2 linked regions of the Arabidopsis thaliana genome follow. The protein of the gene in region 1 purifies or fractionates together with the protein of each later gene. This does not show direct contact. Each region holds a gene or a part of one and is shown on either strand. Other genes may lie near its edges.

Region 1 (8,427 bases):
AGCGAGGGACGGACTTGTTGCAGAATACGTAACAATCGGCACCTGAGATTTTTGTCCCATCTCAATCATGAATTGAGCCTGCATCGAAGTCCATGGCCCTAGAATCGCTTTCACTTCCTTGTTCGTTATCAGATCAAGAGCTGTGACAAAGTCAACGCCAAGGAGTGTTTTGTTATGCAAAAAAAAAACCTTTGGAGGAGAAAGCATAAATGTAGATAAGAAGTGTGCATATGAACTGATGATTGATGACACACACGTATCTCAGTGCATGCAAATTTAGAGAAATGGGTATGCGTGTACCTGCTGCTGCTGCGGTAACAACATCATTTTTGGAGTCAACAACGGTGGTTACAAGCCTTGTTTGGGTTTCTGGATGAGAAGAGTAGAAATCAGAAAGAGACATGTTGATACAGAGCAAAGTCATGTTGGAGTAAGCCGTTCCGATATCATTCACGATTCCCACATTTACATTGGTTATCCTATTTTGTGCTTCTCCGACCTGCATCAGGAAGACGATTACAAAGAAGAGTAAGCTGAGAACGAGGTTGTTTTCTCTCTTCATTTTATTCTTCTTCTACTTAGCCGAAAAAGAATGAAACTTGGTGGTCTATATGTATGCTCTTTGGTGTGGCATGAGACCCTTTGGTAATTGGAGAAGTCGTGATATTGTTAATTACGAACTTGTTGAATTTATTCCAAAGTATATAATATTTAAGGCAGCAACTTGTTTTTTTTTACATATTCTAATTTAACCAACAATTAAAGTCAACCGTTGCAAAGGAGGAGACTTCGTCTCATGCATAATTAACAATAACATAAGAATCATTGACCGGATTCCATGTGACCACTCAAAAGAGCAAGACACTCATAAACGTTCTCAGCTCGTAAATGAGACCTGTCCTCAGCAAAGAAATGGCACACTTTGTCACTCATCTCAATCCAACTGCAGCCCGGTTTCTTCCTCAATCCCATTTCTTTCATTTTTAATCTGACTCGTCTTGCTGCATCCCATGACTCACCAGAAGCATACAAATTGAACAAGACCATGTAGGTTGATGCATCATCTGGATAATTCTCAACAAGCAATCTTGCGATTCTATCTCCCAATGAATGTTCCAGGTGCAAGCAACAAGCAGAGAAGAGAGTACTGAGAAGCTCTGCATTGTCACTTGTCTCTGGTGTTTGTTGAATAATTTCATAAGCTTCAAGCAACCGACCTGCTCGGCCAAGAATGTCAATCATGCACGAGTAATGTTCAATAATAGGCTCGATTCCGTACTTTGATCTCATTTGACTGAAAAATTTGAGACCCTCATCAATTAGCCCAGCATGACCACAAGCTGACAATACAGCAAGAAGAGTAACCCCATCAGGTTTTAGACCAAACTTCTGCATTTCATCAAACTGGTAAAGTGCTTCTCTGGGTTGACCATGAGATCCATACGCAGAGATCATTACCGTCCATGATACAACATCCTTCTTTGGTATACTGTTGAAAATCCTAAAAGCCTCTTTTTCATTGCCGCATTTAGAATACATGTCAAGAAGCGCACTCAAAAGCAACTCGTCTGTTTCGAGCCTGCTCTCACTAATGGACAAATGAATCTGTTTGCCTTTCTCTAACGCAGCCAGTTGCGAACAAGCAGGTAAAACACTTGTGAAAGTTACCACGTCTGGCTTCACTCCAACACTCACCATTTGGTCATACACTTCAACAGCCTTAAACCAATTACCTACACTGATATAACTAGAAATCATGACATTCCATGACTCAGCAACGTCCTTCTGTGTCTTTGAAAAGACGGTTTCAGCCAAATTTGCTTCACCACACTTGAAGTATAGATCAATCAAGGAACAGTTCACATAGATATCTGCATTTACAACGCTTCTAATCACATAACCGTGTATAAATTTTCCATGTAGGAGATTCCGTGAGCGAGAGCAAGCCATCAAAATGCTGGTCAAGGTTGTCTGACTCGGTCGAGTTCCTTCTATGATCATTCTATTCAAAATCTCAACACATGACTTACTGTCTCCTTTAGCGACATAACCTTTGATCATAGAATTCCAAGCAACCAAACTCTTTCTAGGCATTTTCTGAAAAACCTCCCTAGCCACCTCCAAGCAGTCACATTTCCCATACATATCAACAAGGGCAGAGTTTACATACTCATCTAACTCAAACCCTTTCTTCACACATTTTCTATGTATCTCCTTCCCTCTCTCCAACCACAACAGCCTTGAACACGCCGATATAGCCACCGTCAACGAAACTGAATTTGGTTCAAAGCCAGAACTTTCCATTCTTCCAAACAACTCCAAAGCCTTCTCTGCCTCTCCACTTTGATAAAAACACGAAATAACCGTGTTCCAAGATGCTACATCTCTCTCAGGCATTTCATCGAACACTTGTAGTGAATTCTCAAACAAGTTAAACTTTGCATACATACCAACCAAAGAACTCGCCACAACCACATCACAAACATACCCACTCTTCACCACAAGAGTATGAATCATCCTACCAAGAAACTCTCTACCCAACGCACCATAAGCCTTAATCACATTCGGAAAAGTAAACGAATCAGGGACACAAATTGAGCAATTCAACAACCTCTTGAAAACCTCAAGAGTGTCATGAAACATTGAGTTCTTTGAATAACCAGACATTAAAGAGTTCCATATGTAAACATCCGATCGTATATCGAAGTTCTCGAAGACGTGTCTCGCTGAGCAATGGTCTTTACAAGTAAAGTAGACATTGATGAGACTTTTGCATAAAACTACGTCTCTTCGTAACCCCAACGTGAGTATTCTCTGATGCACAAGCTTGATTCTTCTTAGAGACTTGGTGCTATTGGTACACTCTCGCAATAAAGACAACAACTTTGAAGATTCCATTTCAAGTTCACATTTTTTTTTGTCGTGAGAGATTGAAATGTGATCAGTCGCTGCTTTAGCTAAATTATAAAGGAAAGACATGATTCAAACTACGACGTCGTTTATACTAATGGGCCAAACTTAATTAGGCCCAAAATGATTTATTTTTCTAAATTAGCGATGCGTTTTAAAACCCTAGGTTACAAAAACGCGCCGTTAGCAATAAAAACGCAGCGTTTTGAGAATCTCTGAACCTTCTTCAACAACTATAAAAACCATCTTAAACCCTAGCAGAATCGCGGCTCCTGATTTTAGCTCTCTCTAAAGCTGTAGTTGTGCGTTAACCCTCTAAGGTACTGAATCTCTCTCGCCCTCTCTTTCTTCGTTGTTATGGCAAATAAGCTTCCAAAATTCTAAGACTTTGACAAAGTATAGTTCTGTTCTTTGTCGGATTTTCAAGAATTTGAACAGAGTATCTGCCTTAACTATTATTCTGATTTGTAAACTTCGAAACAGGGAAAAAGTTTTACCTTGAATATTGTTTCGTACTAGCTTAATGGCTTTAGCTCGTAAAACACTAACTTGCAAGTTTGGTGACTTTGAGTTGATTCAAGGGTTTCTCTTAATCTTGTTTTTTCTTCTTTTCAGGAGCTTGTAAAAATGCTAATACTGTTTGAGACGCCAGGTGGTTTTGCCATCTTCAAAGTATTAAACGAAGGAAAGCTCTCTAATGTTGAGGTTACTAACTAAATCATTCTCCTTTGTTCATTTATCTTAACCTTGTTTCTGTGTGTGGTTTGGTTTTTTAATTCTAAGTATGTCAAATTTGTGATTGTAGGATTTGGGTAATGAGTTCTCGACCGCAAAGTTAGCCCGAAAGGTGATTTATTTTGTTCTAGACATAGTTCAAATTTTGTATCTGGCTAATAATATTTGTTTCTCATAGCAATTTTTGGTGTGTTGTTACAGATGGTGAAGCTAGTAGCTTTTGACAAGTTTGACAACACAGCTGAAGCTCTTGAAGCAGTGGCTAAATTGCTTGAGGGAACTCCAAGCAAGGGTCTACGCAAGTTTTTGAAAGCTAACTGTGTTGGTGAAACATTAGCTGTTGCTGATTCTAAGCTTGGAAATATCATCAAGGAGAAACTGGTGTGTATTTTGTTCCGATACGCTCTTTTATTTCTGAGTAAGGGTTGTTTCTTACGGTTTTGCTTCACTCGTGTAGAAAATAGTCTGTGTTCACAACAATGCTGTTATGGAGCTGTTAAGAGGTATCAGAAGCCAGCTAACTGAACTTATATCTGGATTGGGTGATCAAGATCTAGGTCCAATGAGCTTGGGGTTGTCTCACAGCCTTGCCAGATATAAACTAAAGTTCAGTTCCGACAAGGTAGTCATTTGATTTGTATTGGTTTTTGGTTCTCTGAATTATTTGTTGAGTTAGCCAACTTTTGATAAATTATGGAACTTTTGGTATCCCTTTTTTTACTCTTCCAACATTAGGTCTGAATTGCAATTGAGTTTGTCTATATATCCTGTGTTTGTTTGACCCTTATGTTACTTCACCTTGTACTTGTATGTTAGGTGGATACCATGATAATCCAAGCTATTGGTCTGCTTGATGATCTTGACAAAGAGCTTAACACTTACGCTATGAGGGTTCGTGAATGGTTTGGTTGGCATTTTCCTGAGCTTGCTAAGATCGTACAGGACAATATCTTATATGCCAAGGCTGTTAAACTAATGGGGAATCGGATTAATGCTGCAAAGCTAGACTTCTCTGAGGTAAAGGCCTGTTTGAGTATTTGACTTCCTTGTGCTTAACACTAGTTTTTTTTTTTTTGAAACATTGTTTCTGTGTCCTCCTCTCAGATATTGGCTGATGAAATTGAAGCAGAACTGAAAGAGGCTGCTGTGATATCTATGGGAACTGAAGTCAGTGACCTTGATTTATTGCACATCCGAGAACTCTGTGACCAGGTTCTTTCTCTTGCCGAGTACAGAGCTCAGCTTTATGACTACTTGAAGAGCAGAATGAACACAATTGCACCAAATCTAACTGCCCTTGTCGGGGAGCTAGTCGGTGCTCGCTTAATATCTCACGGTGGTAGTTTGTTGAACCTCGCAAAGCAACCTGGAAGCACGGTTCAGATTCTTGGAGCTGAAAAAGCCTTATTTAGAGCCCTTAAGACCAAACACGCTACTCCAAAGTATGGTTTAATTTTCCATGCATCTGTTGTTGGCCAAGCTGCACCGAAGAACAAGGGTAAAATTTCACGGTCACTAGCTGCAAAATCTGTTCTTGCTATCCGTTGTGATGCTCTTGGTGACTCCCAAGACAACACTATGGGAGTTGAAAACCGTTTAAAGGTATCCTTCAATTTTTTTTTTTCCGATCTTCCTCTCGATCTGATCTAAAAATACTCTACCTTGATTGATGTTTACCATGCGGGCTATTTTCTTCTGACAGCTTGAAGCACGGTTGAGAACTCTCGAAGGAAAAGATTTAGGACGTCTATCTGGCTCAGCTAAAGGCAAACCAAAGATTGAAGTATATGACAAAGATAAAAAGAAAGGATCCGGAGGTCTGATCACTCCTGCTAAGGTCAGATTATTCCTCTGCTAGTTTGTTTCTTCAACTTTCTTTTGTAATTATGAATTCTGGATTTGTGCAATTGTGTTTTGGATATATTACCTGTAATGTTGCTTAAAGGATTAAGCTGTTTGTTGTTGTTGTTGTTGTTGTATTCTGCAGACATACAACACTGCTGCAGACTCTCTTCTTCAAACTCCCACAGTGGATTCAGAGAACGGTGTGAAAGAGAAGAAAGACAAAAAGAAGAAGAAGAAGGCTGATGATGAGGAAGAAGCCAAAACTGAGGAGCCCTCAAAGAAGAAATCGAATAAGAAGAAGACAGAAGCAGAACCTGAAACCGCCGAAGAGCCTGCAAAGAAGGAGAAGAAGAAGAAGAGAAAACACGAGGAAGAGGAAACTGAAATGCCTGCTAAGAAGAAGGAAAAGAGTGAGAAGAAGAAGAAGAAGAAAACTGAGGTCTGAAGAGACCTTTAATATTTTTGCGTGGTCTAGTTTACTTTGTTATCAGAAACAAAGAAAATCTTTTGTGGCGTTAGGTGTTAAGTAAGGTTTTTGTTTTGTTTGAAACTTAAAAAAAAGAACTACTCTTCGTTTTGTAAGGTTATAATATGTTTGGTTTAGTCCTTATCCCAGAAACTTGCATTTTGCCAAACGAGTCAAGACCTTACCGTTAAATCCTTCTAATCTTAGTATAACGTAATTACTCATAGTTGATTAGTTCATAAATTTGTAAAGATCAGTCCGAAGAGTCGACATTTTTCATCAAGTGTATCATTGACATTTTAAAAAACCTTGTACAAAATGAATATTTGTGAGTCTAAAAAGTACCTTAATAGTCAATTGGAAATGGATTGGGTTGAGCATAAGGCAAATCATACCAGACCTTAGAAATTTCAAAAGATAAATAAAATCTAGAGTCTACCTACTTTGTGTGTGTATATATTTTTATTGTGCTATAAATTTTGTGATGAATATGAATCAAAATTCTTTCTGAATATTTCGTGATAATGGTTCCGTCAATATCAAAATTTACTACTGAACATATATGTTTTAAAATATTTAACTGGATTTTAATTCATAAAGTTTTTTTTATTTTTAATTAAATTTAGTTGCCGTGGAAAAAGTTTAATCTATAGTGTTTTATGTAATCATTGTAGGTAATGTTCAAAAAATCTGCCTAGACACCTATCGAACTGGATTTTAATTTATAAAGTCTTTTTATTTGTAAGTAAACTAGTAGGCAGCCCGTGCCTTGCACGCAAAACAACAATACCAATAATATATTTCGTGTCTTTGAAATTTGCAACAATTACACAAATGACGAATATCACAACCTCACAAAATACAATGTGTATCACACATTGCTCTATAACTCTCAATAAAAGTCCTATTCAACTTTACTCAAATTGTAAAATAATATATGTGTTAAAATTAAGAAAACTTTTATTGGAAACAGCAAATAATCTTACATAAATACACTAACTTATCTCATAGATATATAGAAAAAAATATATATATATATACAGAGCCGTTTTTTCTTCTCAAAAAACTTAACAATAATAATGATGGAGAAATGAATTACCTTCTAACCAAAACGCTTTTCTAAACTTGAACATATAAGATGGTTTCACATTTAAATTATTTTGCACACTACACCGTGGAAGAAGATGTCATGTCATGCCACCCATCTCTCAATTTGGTTATCTTCTTCTTCTTCTTCTTCTTTTTCTGAATTGAAAGCCCCAAAACATTTGCATCCATTTTGTTTCTATATGATTCTCGCAAACTCATGTGGTCATTTTGTAGCAGCGGGTGTGCATGGAAAATGTAAGAAGATAAGACCAAGTAAAACGCAACAAAACGGCCAAAGGTTTATTGATATTCATACCAGCGATTGGGTGGACCAAACTCAGTGAGTCGTGAGGGGTTAACAGCGTCCATCACATTAGGTATCACAAAAGTCTCAACTTTCATTATTTACGTCATTCTTTCGTTTCTCTGGTAGACGTATTTAGATGAAAGAATGGAGGATCTAAGATTATGAGAAAGGAAAGAAGAAGAAGAATTTAAACCTGTTTTTATCTTCTTGAGAATGGCTTATACGGTTGCTCTTGAGATCGTAAATTAACTGGCAGAGGGTTTGAAAGATGGGAGAGAAAGTAAAGAATCTTAATAACGTGGAAGAAGTAGTTGCTGAAAAAGTGGTTAAAAAAATTTAAATTTATCTTTTGTCAAAAAAGAATATTCTATTGAATAGTAAAAGGAAGTGAATTGGTTTACGATTGTGGAAGTGCAAAATTTTAGACTTAAAGCATACGTGTCAAAATGAGAAGCTTACAGTTTTTTTAAAAGTGACTGTTGATTTAGTATTATTAGATTTAGTTGCCGCGAAAAAGTTTAATATATAGTGTTTTATGTACTTATTATAGGTAATGTTCAAAAAAATAGCCTAGACATCTATCGAACGTCTAGCTACCGTACAACGATTTTTTGAACATTGATTATAGGTAACTAAATCTACATATACATTTTTGCCGCCATTTTGTGAAATAAATCTTAGAGTTGGAACTTATTTATAATGGCTGCCACTAGCTTTTAATTATTGTTTTTTTTGCAATAAATTAATTAACAAGCAAAAAAAATTCCAAATATATTCTAATCCCATATATCACGCAGATTTCTCCAAAATTGAACTAAATTTCGGTAACTATTTAAAACAAAAAATGTTTGACAAACCAAAATACAATTGCAATCCCTTAAAATGAGCAAAATGCACCTAAATACATTTCTTATCAATTCACTAAATCTAATTTCTCCAAAATTTGAATTAGATTTCGACAAATATTTTTAAAAAAATTTGTTTGACAAACTAAAATACAATTGCAATCCCGTAAAATATTTATTTTAATTATATATTTAAATTAACGGTGTACCACTGGGTTTTTTTACGGGAC
Region 2 (7,705 bases), on another chromosome or scaffold:
TGAATGATTAAACTAAACCAAAGCGACTAAAAAGATTTGAGAGGTTAGTTTAGTAAAATTGATTTTATAGGCCAATGAAAAAGGGAAGAAGAGAAGGGTTTTATGGGCTAAAAGAGAGCGCACGTGTGCATCGCATTCTCTTCTTCTTTTGCTTTTGTTGAGTTGCGTAATGACTTTTACGTGTATCCCTCGTGCGTGTGTACGAATGCGACCCTTTACCTTTCTTTGTCTCTTGAGAAGTTGGATATTCACTTTTACATTATTTAAACACTATATCAGTAACATAAATGAAGTATAGAAAAACCTATCAAACATATTTTGAATGTTTTTATTCTAATGCTTTGAAAAAGAAAAAGAAAAAATATATATATCATAATACTTAAGTACTATGGAATACGTAATATACAATTATTTTTGTATGTGAATATCCAATTTCATTTGCGATGTTAATATACATTTTTTAGATTTTATCATCAATCATGGCAAAATATAGTCTTTTGAATAGATGAGCATATCCTTAGTAGAAGCCACTCGAAGCAATCATGGATGTCTTCCAATGACCATCTAACATTTAAGTCATTATTGGAAACTTAAAGAAGTTGTATAACAAAATACTTAGATGTTATTATGAGGATGCTCTTAAATTAGTATATGTCAAGTGTTGTTATTGAGAATATAGCAATTACTTCTCTCTCTATTATGCTCATGTTGGATTGTGAATCCTTAAGAAAAATTCTTAAGACTGATATTTATAAGAAAAAAAAACTGAACATGGTTCAGATACCGGGTTTCAAAACATTATGGTGTTAAGTCCATACAAATGTACTTGTTTTAAAGTAGAAAACATGTGTGGTGTTGGTCAAGTTTTTCTATTACATCCTATCAAAGCATGTACACAATTTTAGGTAGACGTAATAATGTTGTTAGTATTCTCTTTACGGAAGATGTGTGTGATGCGTCCTATCACATATTGTCATTGCAAAGTGTGTTAGCTCATTATGCACATGGTGGTTTAGCTCTTTATGTAGATTGTTAGGATCTGGTTTGAAAAAATAAATAATAGTTACTTAACATTCATACCCAAAAAAATAATAAAGAATAGTTGATAATATTTCATGAAAATCGATTTGTTTTGGTGGACATACATCGTCGTCTCTACTCTATTGTCTCGATCGCAAGTAATATGACAAATAAAGCAGCAGCCCTAGCAATAAAACATGTGACTACTAAAATAGGAGGATTTATCTTTACTTGACGAACTATAAATTAAATATCTACTCTTTTACCTTGACTTTGAAAATTACTTTTTAAGATTGCCTTTTACAATTATGTGGAATAGCGGCACACATTTACGTAAATTTAACTTCAATTTAAAACAATGATTTATTCATTTTCATCATACAAACTTTTCAGCACATTTTCTCCTTTTTAATATAATTTTATATATTATAGATAGAGATATAGATCAAACAATGTATGACTTTAAACTTAGATTGTAAATTCTTCTTACTATGCTCGAAAATTTCATCTACGTATATAGATCTATTGTAAACCTAAGTTTAAAACGGAAATCAGTTATTGATAGTAATCTAGTAAGTTTAATCAACTATGCGTTATAACATAATGAAATCATATATACGAGCTTAGATATCTAATTCAGTTAATCAACAAGTCAACTAAACAAGGCTTCACTTTTCCACACCTCTACAGATCGAAATTATTATATATTCGAATTATGTAACTAATGTAAGTCTTGCAACGTGTGGATAGATACAAAATGGATATGTCCATAGGTATACATATTAAAAATATAACTAGAAATGGTATATTACTAACAAAATTTTACCCCCAAAGGTGGCCATCCACTAGTAGCCACATGCTTATCTAGTAGACATTGAACATGATAAAAAGTGCCAAATAAGTGGAATAATCAATGGGAATCTTCATTCCTATAAACAAAAACATTTTCAAGCCTATGACATAGCTAGCTACTCTACAACATGTATATGCCAATTGGGATATAAATGTATTAAAGCATAACCATTAATTTGACAAATAGAAATAAATAGTTCAGAATGTATAAGTTGAGAAAAGTTATAATGATTGGTAGGGAGAGACTCAAAAAGAAAAAAGGATGGGTAATGGGACCTATTTTCCCCAACATCCCACATGCACACTTCCCTCTCCATTCTCTCACATTTATTTCTTTCATTCTAATTTATCCATTCCGTGTGTAACATATTCACTAATAATCTCATCTCACTAACTCATTCATTGATTGTGATATGTTTATCTAGAATTAGTGTTTTAACACTGTGTCTACATATGATTTCCTTTTCATTGTATGTGAACATGTTAACTCACTAATCATTTTGTATTTTCGAGTTAACATGAGTCTCCACTTCGGTAGACTAAAGTAAAGATAGGTTTGAGTATAATAAAGTTTAAAATTTGCTTTAAAATCAATATTTATAAATAAGTTTTTATCATAAGTGATTTTTGTATGTTATATTGGACCTTGTATAAACAGACTACAGAAGAAAATTATTTATGAGAACTTGTAATGTTAGAGTGGACCTCGTATAAACTAATTATGTGGGCTTTTACCATAAACTATTTATGAAAATTATTATGGCCCACACCACTATAACTAAAGCCCACATATTTAGCAGCCCAGTTTCATTGTAAGAGACATGTTCGCTCTGGAACTAGAATTTTCTGGTTTTTGGGTATTTGTTTTCTTATGTGTAGAGAAATGATGGTAACGATTAAATGTTGTGTATTACAATTTACAATGGTAAGACGATTAATATATTTACACACAATTTTGTTGTTGCTGTAACACGTTAGTGTGTGTGATGATAGAATTTCATAAAGCTTTAACTACGAGGGGCAAAATGTTAATTCTAAATAGTTGACAGCAGAAAAAGATATGTATACATAATATAAGGATTAAAACGTAAATAATAATAAATAAGGCGAGTTAAATTAAAACCCTGTTAAAACCCTAGCTTGAAACACATGTATAAAAACACTTGCGAGCGCAGCTTCATCGCCATCGCCATTCTCTCTCTCATCAAAAGCTTTTCTCCTTGATTTTCGCATTCTTTAGAGTCTTAACGCAAAGATGAGACCTCCTCTAACTGGTAAGAACCCTAGCCGCCTCTTCTCTTTTCTTCATTGCTTGCTTATCAGATTAACAATGGCGAGTGACACTCTTAGCTCGTTTAGTCTTTAAAACTTTATGTCTTTAGCTGAACTGATTGTCAACTTTGTTCTTTTTTGCTTAGAACTGTATTGGGTCTGCGTTAGTTCTATCGGATATAGAGTTGATGGTTGGGTTTTATGTTAAACATGGAGTCTCTAATGAATGGTCTTTTGTGTTCAGGAAGTGGTGGTGGGTTCAGTGGTGGAAGAGGGCGTGGTGGATACAGTGGTGGTAGAGGTGACGGTGGATTCAGTGGTGGTCGAGGTGGCGGTGGTAGAGGAGGAGGAAGAGGTTTCAGCGACCGTGGTGGTCGCGGCAGAGGAAGAGGACCACCACGTGGTGGTGCTCGCGGCGGCAGAGGACCAGCTGGCCGTGGAGGCATGAAAGGAGGAAGCAAAGTGATTGTGGAACCTCACAGACACGCAGGAGTGTTCATTGCAAAGGGTAAAGAAGATGCCCTTGTTACCAAGAATTTGGTTCCTGGTGAAGCTGTCTACAACGAGAAGAGAATCTCTGTTCAGGTATTATAGAGGATTGATTAATTGATTGATGGTTTGTATTTGCACTCCTTTTGATGAATTTGTTTTTAATGGTTCTTGTGATTGAATCTGCAGAACGAAGATGGAACCAAGACTGAATACAGAGTTTGGAATCCTTTCCGTTCGAAGTTGGCTGCTGCTATTCTTGGTGGTGTTGATAACATCTGGATTGTAAGCATCAGCTTGTGTGAATCTTATTGTTGTTGTTTGCGAGACTTGGTTCATATATTGATTGTTGTTCCCGTTTCAATGTAGAAACCTGGTGCTAAAGTTCTATACCTTGGTGCTGCTTCTGGAACCACAGTCTCTCATGTGTCTGATCTTGTTGGCCCTGTAAGCAGAACCCGTCCTTTATGTTGTGATTATCAGGTTTTAGACGTGTATTGGAGTTTCTTATATATTGCCTTTGTGATCTGATAGGAGGGGTGTGTGTACGCGGTTGAGTTTTCTCATAGAAGTGGTAGAGATTTGGTGAACATGGCAAAGAAGAGAACCAATGTTATTCCAATCATCGAGGATGCTAGACACCCAGCTAAATACAGAATGCTTGTAGGCATGGTTGATGTTATCTTCTCTGATGTTGCTCAGCCAGATCAGGTTTGCTTCTTTTGTTTAACTCACAATGAATGTCTAAATATTTGCCTCAAAAAGCTTGACCCAATACCATTATATGTGTCCTTTGCTTTAAAATGGTGTTTTGATAATTGCAAATGATGATCTTACTTGGATTCCCCTTCAGATCATTATGGGTGATGCAATCTCCAAGTTTCTGATGTACTGAAAATTCTTGTTTTTGTTTTTGTTAAGCTTAATCTTATTTTACTATGTACTTGTTTTACAATTTCGTTTTTAAGAACAATACTAAATTTAAATGTCTATTATTGCTCGGTTTTGGTTCTCCTGATGTTAAACCTACTTGTTTTCTAAATGCCATTCAGCTTGTGGGTTGCTTCTAGTATACTTTATACTGTTTTGTTTATGAAATTTTCTGTGCCATTTAAAACCGTGCAGGCTAGGATCTTGGCTTTGAATGCATCATACTTCCTCAAGTCAGGAGGACACTTTGTGATCTCAATAAAGGTGGGTAGCAATCGAAACATTTATTTAATCCATGATCTCTCAAGAGAGAAAGATTAGTGAACATGTATTGTCTCATTTTTGCAGGCAAACTGTATCGACTCCACCGTTCCAGCAGAAGCTGTGTTCCAGACTGAAGTGAAGAAGCTTCAACAGGAGCAATTCAAACCAGCTGAGCAAGTGACGCTTGAGCCATTTGAGCGTGACCATGCATGTGTCGTTGGTGGCTACCGTATGCCTAAGAAGCCAAAGGCTGCTACTGCTGCTTAGAAGTTTTCTACTCTACGCTCTTCCCAGTACCTCAGATTTTGCTTTGTCTCGGTCTCTTTAGAATCTGTATGGTTTTAGGGTTTATCTTAAATTTTGAGCTTTGTAATCATTTTGAACCCTGGTTATGTTCACTTGGCTTCCAGCGCTAACTTTTTCGACAAGTTTTTGATATATGGAACAATTATAATAGAATTTTGTCGACTGAGGTTGATTTCTTTAAATAATGACACCTCGTAATGCAAATGTAAAACGCCGCAAGAATTTGCACACAAACAAAACAAAGTTTGAAGACACGTTGCATTTTTAGGACACAAGCCAAGGAAATGTAAATACAAAAAGCTCACGCAGAAACTGTAACAAAAAACTAATGTCAGAAGTGGGGTTTGAACCCACGCCCTCTTACGAAGACCAGAACTTGAGTCTGGCGCCTTAGACCACTCGGCCATCCTGACCTTCTTTATTAAATATCATTGACAACATATATAGCAGGATGAAAAAACTAGAATGGCTTATTCTCAAGCATCTGGAATTTTATTTGGGTTACAAATTTTTTTGATACATTTGGGTTACATGAGGAAAAGTAACTAACATTTGTAATGCAATTTTTCCTTTTGGAAGTAAGTAACAAAACATAACTGATGGAACAGTTTCCTACAATCTAAAACTCTAAATAGAACAATTTGGTGCCCAAACCAATGAAAGACAAACAAAAAGTCACTACTAAGCTTAACAAAAAAAAAACATCAATCACGCAAGTATATCCTTGGATGTCGTCTCACTCCCTCCCCATTTCTTCATACGTTCCATCGTCTCCTCCACCTGTTCATCACAGTTGAGATCGATTCAATTCAAGGAATGAAAAAGTGTATATAACAAACATGGTGTTGTATATCTGGTTCTTACCTCTTTATTCCAGTTTGTCTTATACAGAACAATCAACAGTAACAACGTTTGAAGCGCTGTCCCGGCTATCATTCCAGACCAAAGTCCCTGAAAACATTATACATAAGTTTTAGCTTCAGCATTAACTGACTTAACTCATGCCATTTTCTAAATTCTCTAACCATCACTCCAAAGTTTGCAATGTAACCAAGAAGATATCCAAAGGGAAGGCCAAAAATGTAGTAACAGCCCAAGTTGATATAGGCCACTAAGCCTTGCCAACCGCCTCCAACAGCCACACCTAAAAAGATGAACAAATCAGGACGGTTATAATCTGATGAGATATCCAGTTCGGTTTATATATATATCAGGTTTAGATTTTAGTACCAGAAACAACCGGCTGCACACTGTTGAGAACCATGGTTATACCAAGAAGATAAGCTAGCTTAGACACTGCACGCTGAAGTACTTTACTGCTTGTGAAGATGATAGCAAAATGGTCTCTGGCTATGATGATAGCCACCATAAAGACAAGACCAATGAGGAGAGACTGGAAGACCGTGACATAGACAGAGTACTTAGCTGCTCGTGGACGGCCTAGGCCAAGCTCATTGGATACACGGACACTAATAGTACACAAATATACACATGAGTTTACTAGTTACCTGAATAACAGGAAAAAAGGTCAGATAGTGATGATACCTTATAGCTGCATTTATTCCGATGAATAACATAGCCTCCAAGCCGTTGATATTCATGCTGAAATGTTAAAAACCAAAGAGTGAAAACGTTAAAGAGTCAGATACAAGTTTCTCAAGCTTATTGATGTAAAATGTTGCAGAAAACTAACCATATAGAAAGGGAATCAACAGCGATAACTGCATTGTCAAGACGGCCAGTAAGAACAATGATACTCATCATATACCAGATCTCAAGACAAAGCATAACAGCAGATGCAATGGAGAGTCTAACGAAAGCCCAAATCTCTTTAAAAGCCAACCAAGATAAACCAGTCCAGCCTTCATTACACCAACCAATCACATAAACAATTTGAGCAATTGCAGTTCCCCAGTTTGTAATATTAAACGCCAAAGCAGCACCATTTGTCCCCCAACCAAACTCGATTATAAACAACCAGAGCATAATAACGTGAAGGGAAAGAGCCACAAATCCAATCCAAGCAATAGCAACCACTTTGCTCTGTGCTTGAAGGAACTTAGAGGTTGGGAAATTAAAGGCCAGTGAGAAGAGCTGTGGTATGGTTAGAAGAGTGAACTGTCCAGCTGGAACAGCGATCTCCTCTGCTTGACCGAGTAGTCTCAGAACCGGCGTGGCAAAGATGTAAATAGGAAGGAGGAAGAAACAAGAAACGAACAAGATAATCCAAGATCTCTGCATATAAACTCCTAACATATTGACTTGACCAGCTCCATATGCTTGACCACATAATGTTTCAAGAGCACTTCCCATACCAAGCTGCAAGGATTCAAAACCAAAAACAGAACTTATAATTCCTCTGTATGTTCTCTTGATTCATTTTCACAGTAAATTTCTCGATTCGAAAGTTACAACAGTAAAAAAATGAAGCTAGAGAGTGAAAGAGAGTAATACCAAGAAACCGAAGGAGAAGGTACCGATGACGGAAAGAGAGATAGAGACGGCGGAGAGCTCGACTTCGCCGATGTGACCGACAAAGATATTAGTGACTGAGCTAACTCCGTATTGGCAG

The links.
Region 2: the proteins of AT5G27120 (region 1) and FIB2 fractionate together in Arabidopsis thaliana (co-fractionation; one large-scale study listed by BioGRID). This does not show direct contact.

Annotation. Positions count from the first base shown.
Region 1 is NC_003076.8:9,537,750-9,546,176, forward strand, and holds AT5G27120 (NOP56-like pre RNA processing ribonucleoprotein), read left to right. Parts: upstream 1-3,111; 5' UTR 3,112-3,230; intron 3,231-3,525; 5' UTR 3,526-3,537; coding exon 3,538-3,615; intron 3,616-3,715; coding exon 3,716-3,757; intron 3,758-3,846; coding exon 3,847-4,026; intron 4,027-4,102; coding exon 4,103-4,267; intron 4,268-4,461; coding exon 4,462-4,662; intron 4,663-4,749; coding exon 4,750-5,247; intron 5,248-5,347; coding exon 5,348-5,482; intron 5,483-5,632; coding exon 5,633-5,935; 3' UTR 5,936-6,316; downstream 6,317-8,427. Other genes in the region: GLR2.1 (glutamate receptor 2.1), read right to left, coding at 1-140, 301-562; AT5G27110 (Tetratricopeptide repeat (TPR)-like superfamily protein), read right to left, coding at 823-2,898. UniProt on the Arabidopsis thaliana protein: Required for 60S ribosomal subunit biogenesis.
Region 2 is NC_003075.7:13,071,112-13,078,816, forward strand, and holds FIB2 (fibrillarin 2), read left to right. Parts: upstream 1-2,978; 5' UTR 2,979-3,127; coding exon 3,128-3,146; intron 3,147-3,388; coding exon 3,389-3,729; intron 3,730-3,822; coding exon 3,823-3,918; intron 3,919-4,002; coding exon 4,003-4,080; intron 4,081-4,167; coding exon 4,168-4,344; intron 4,345-4,451; exon of another isoform or gene 4,452-4,524; intron 4,525-4,758; coding exon 4,759-4,827; intron 4,828-4,911; coding exon 4,912-5,094; 3' UTR 5,095-5,321; downstream 5,322-7,705. Other genes in the region: DTX35 (detoxifying efflux carrier 35), read right to left, coding at 5,465-5,546, 5,846-5,913, 5,998-6,084, 6,159-6,277, 6,364-6,602, 6,679-6,735, 6,827-7,452, 7,588-7,705. UniProt on the Arabidopsis thaliana protein: S-adenosyl-L-methionine-dependent methyltransferase that has the ability to methylate both RNAs and proteins. Involved in pre-rRNA processing.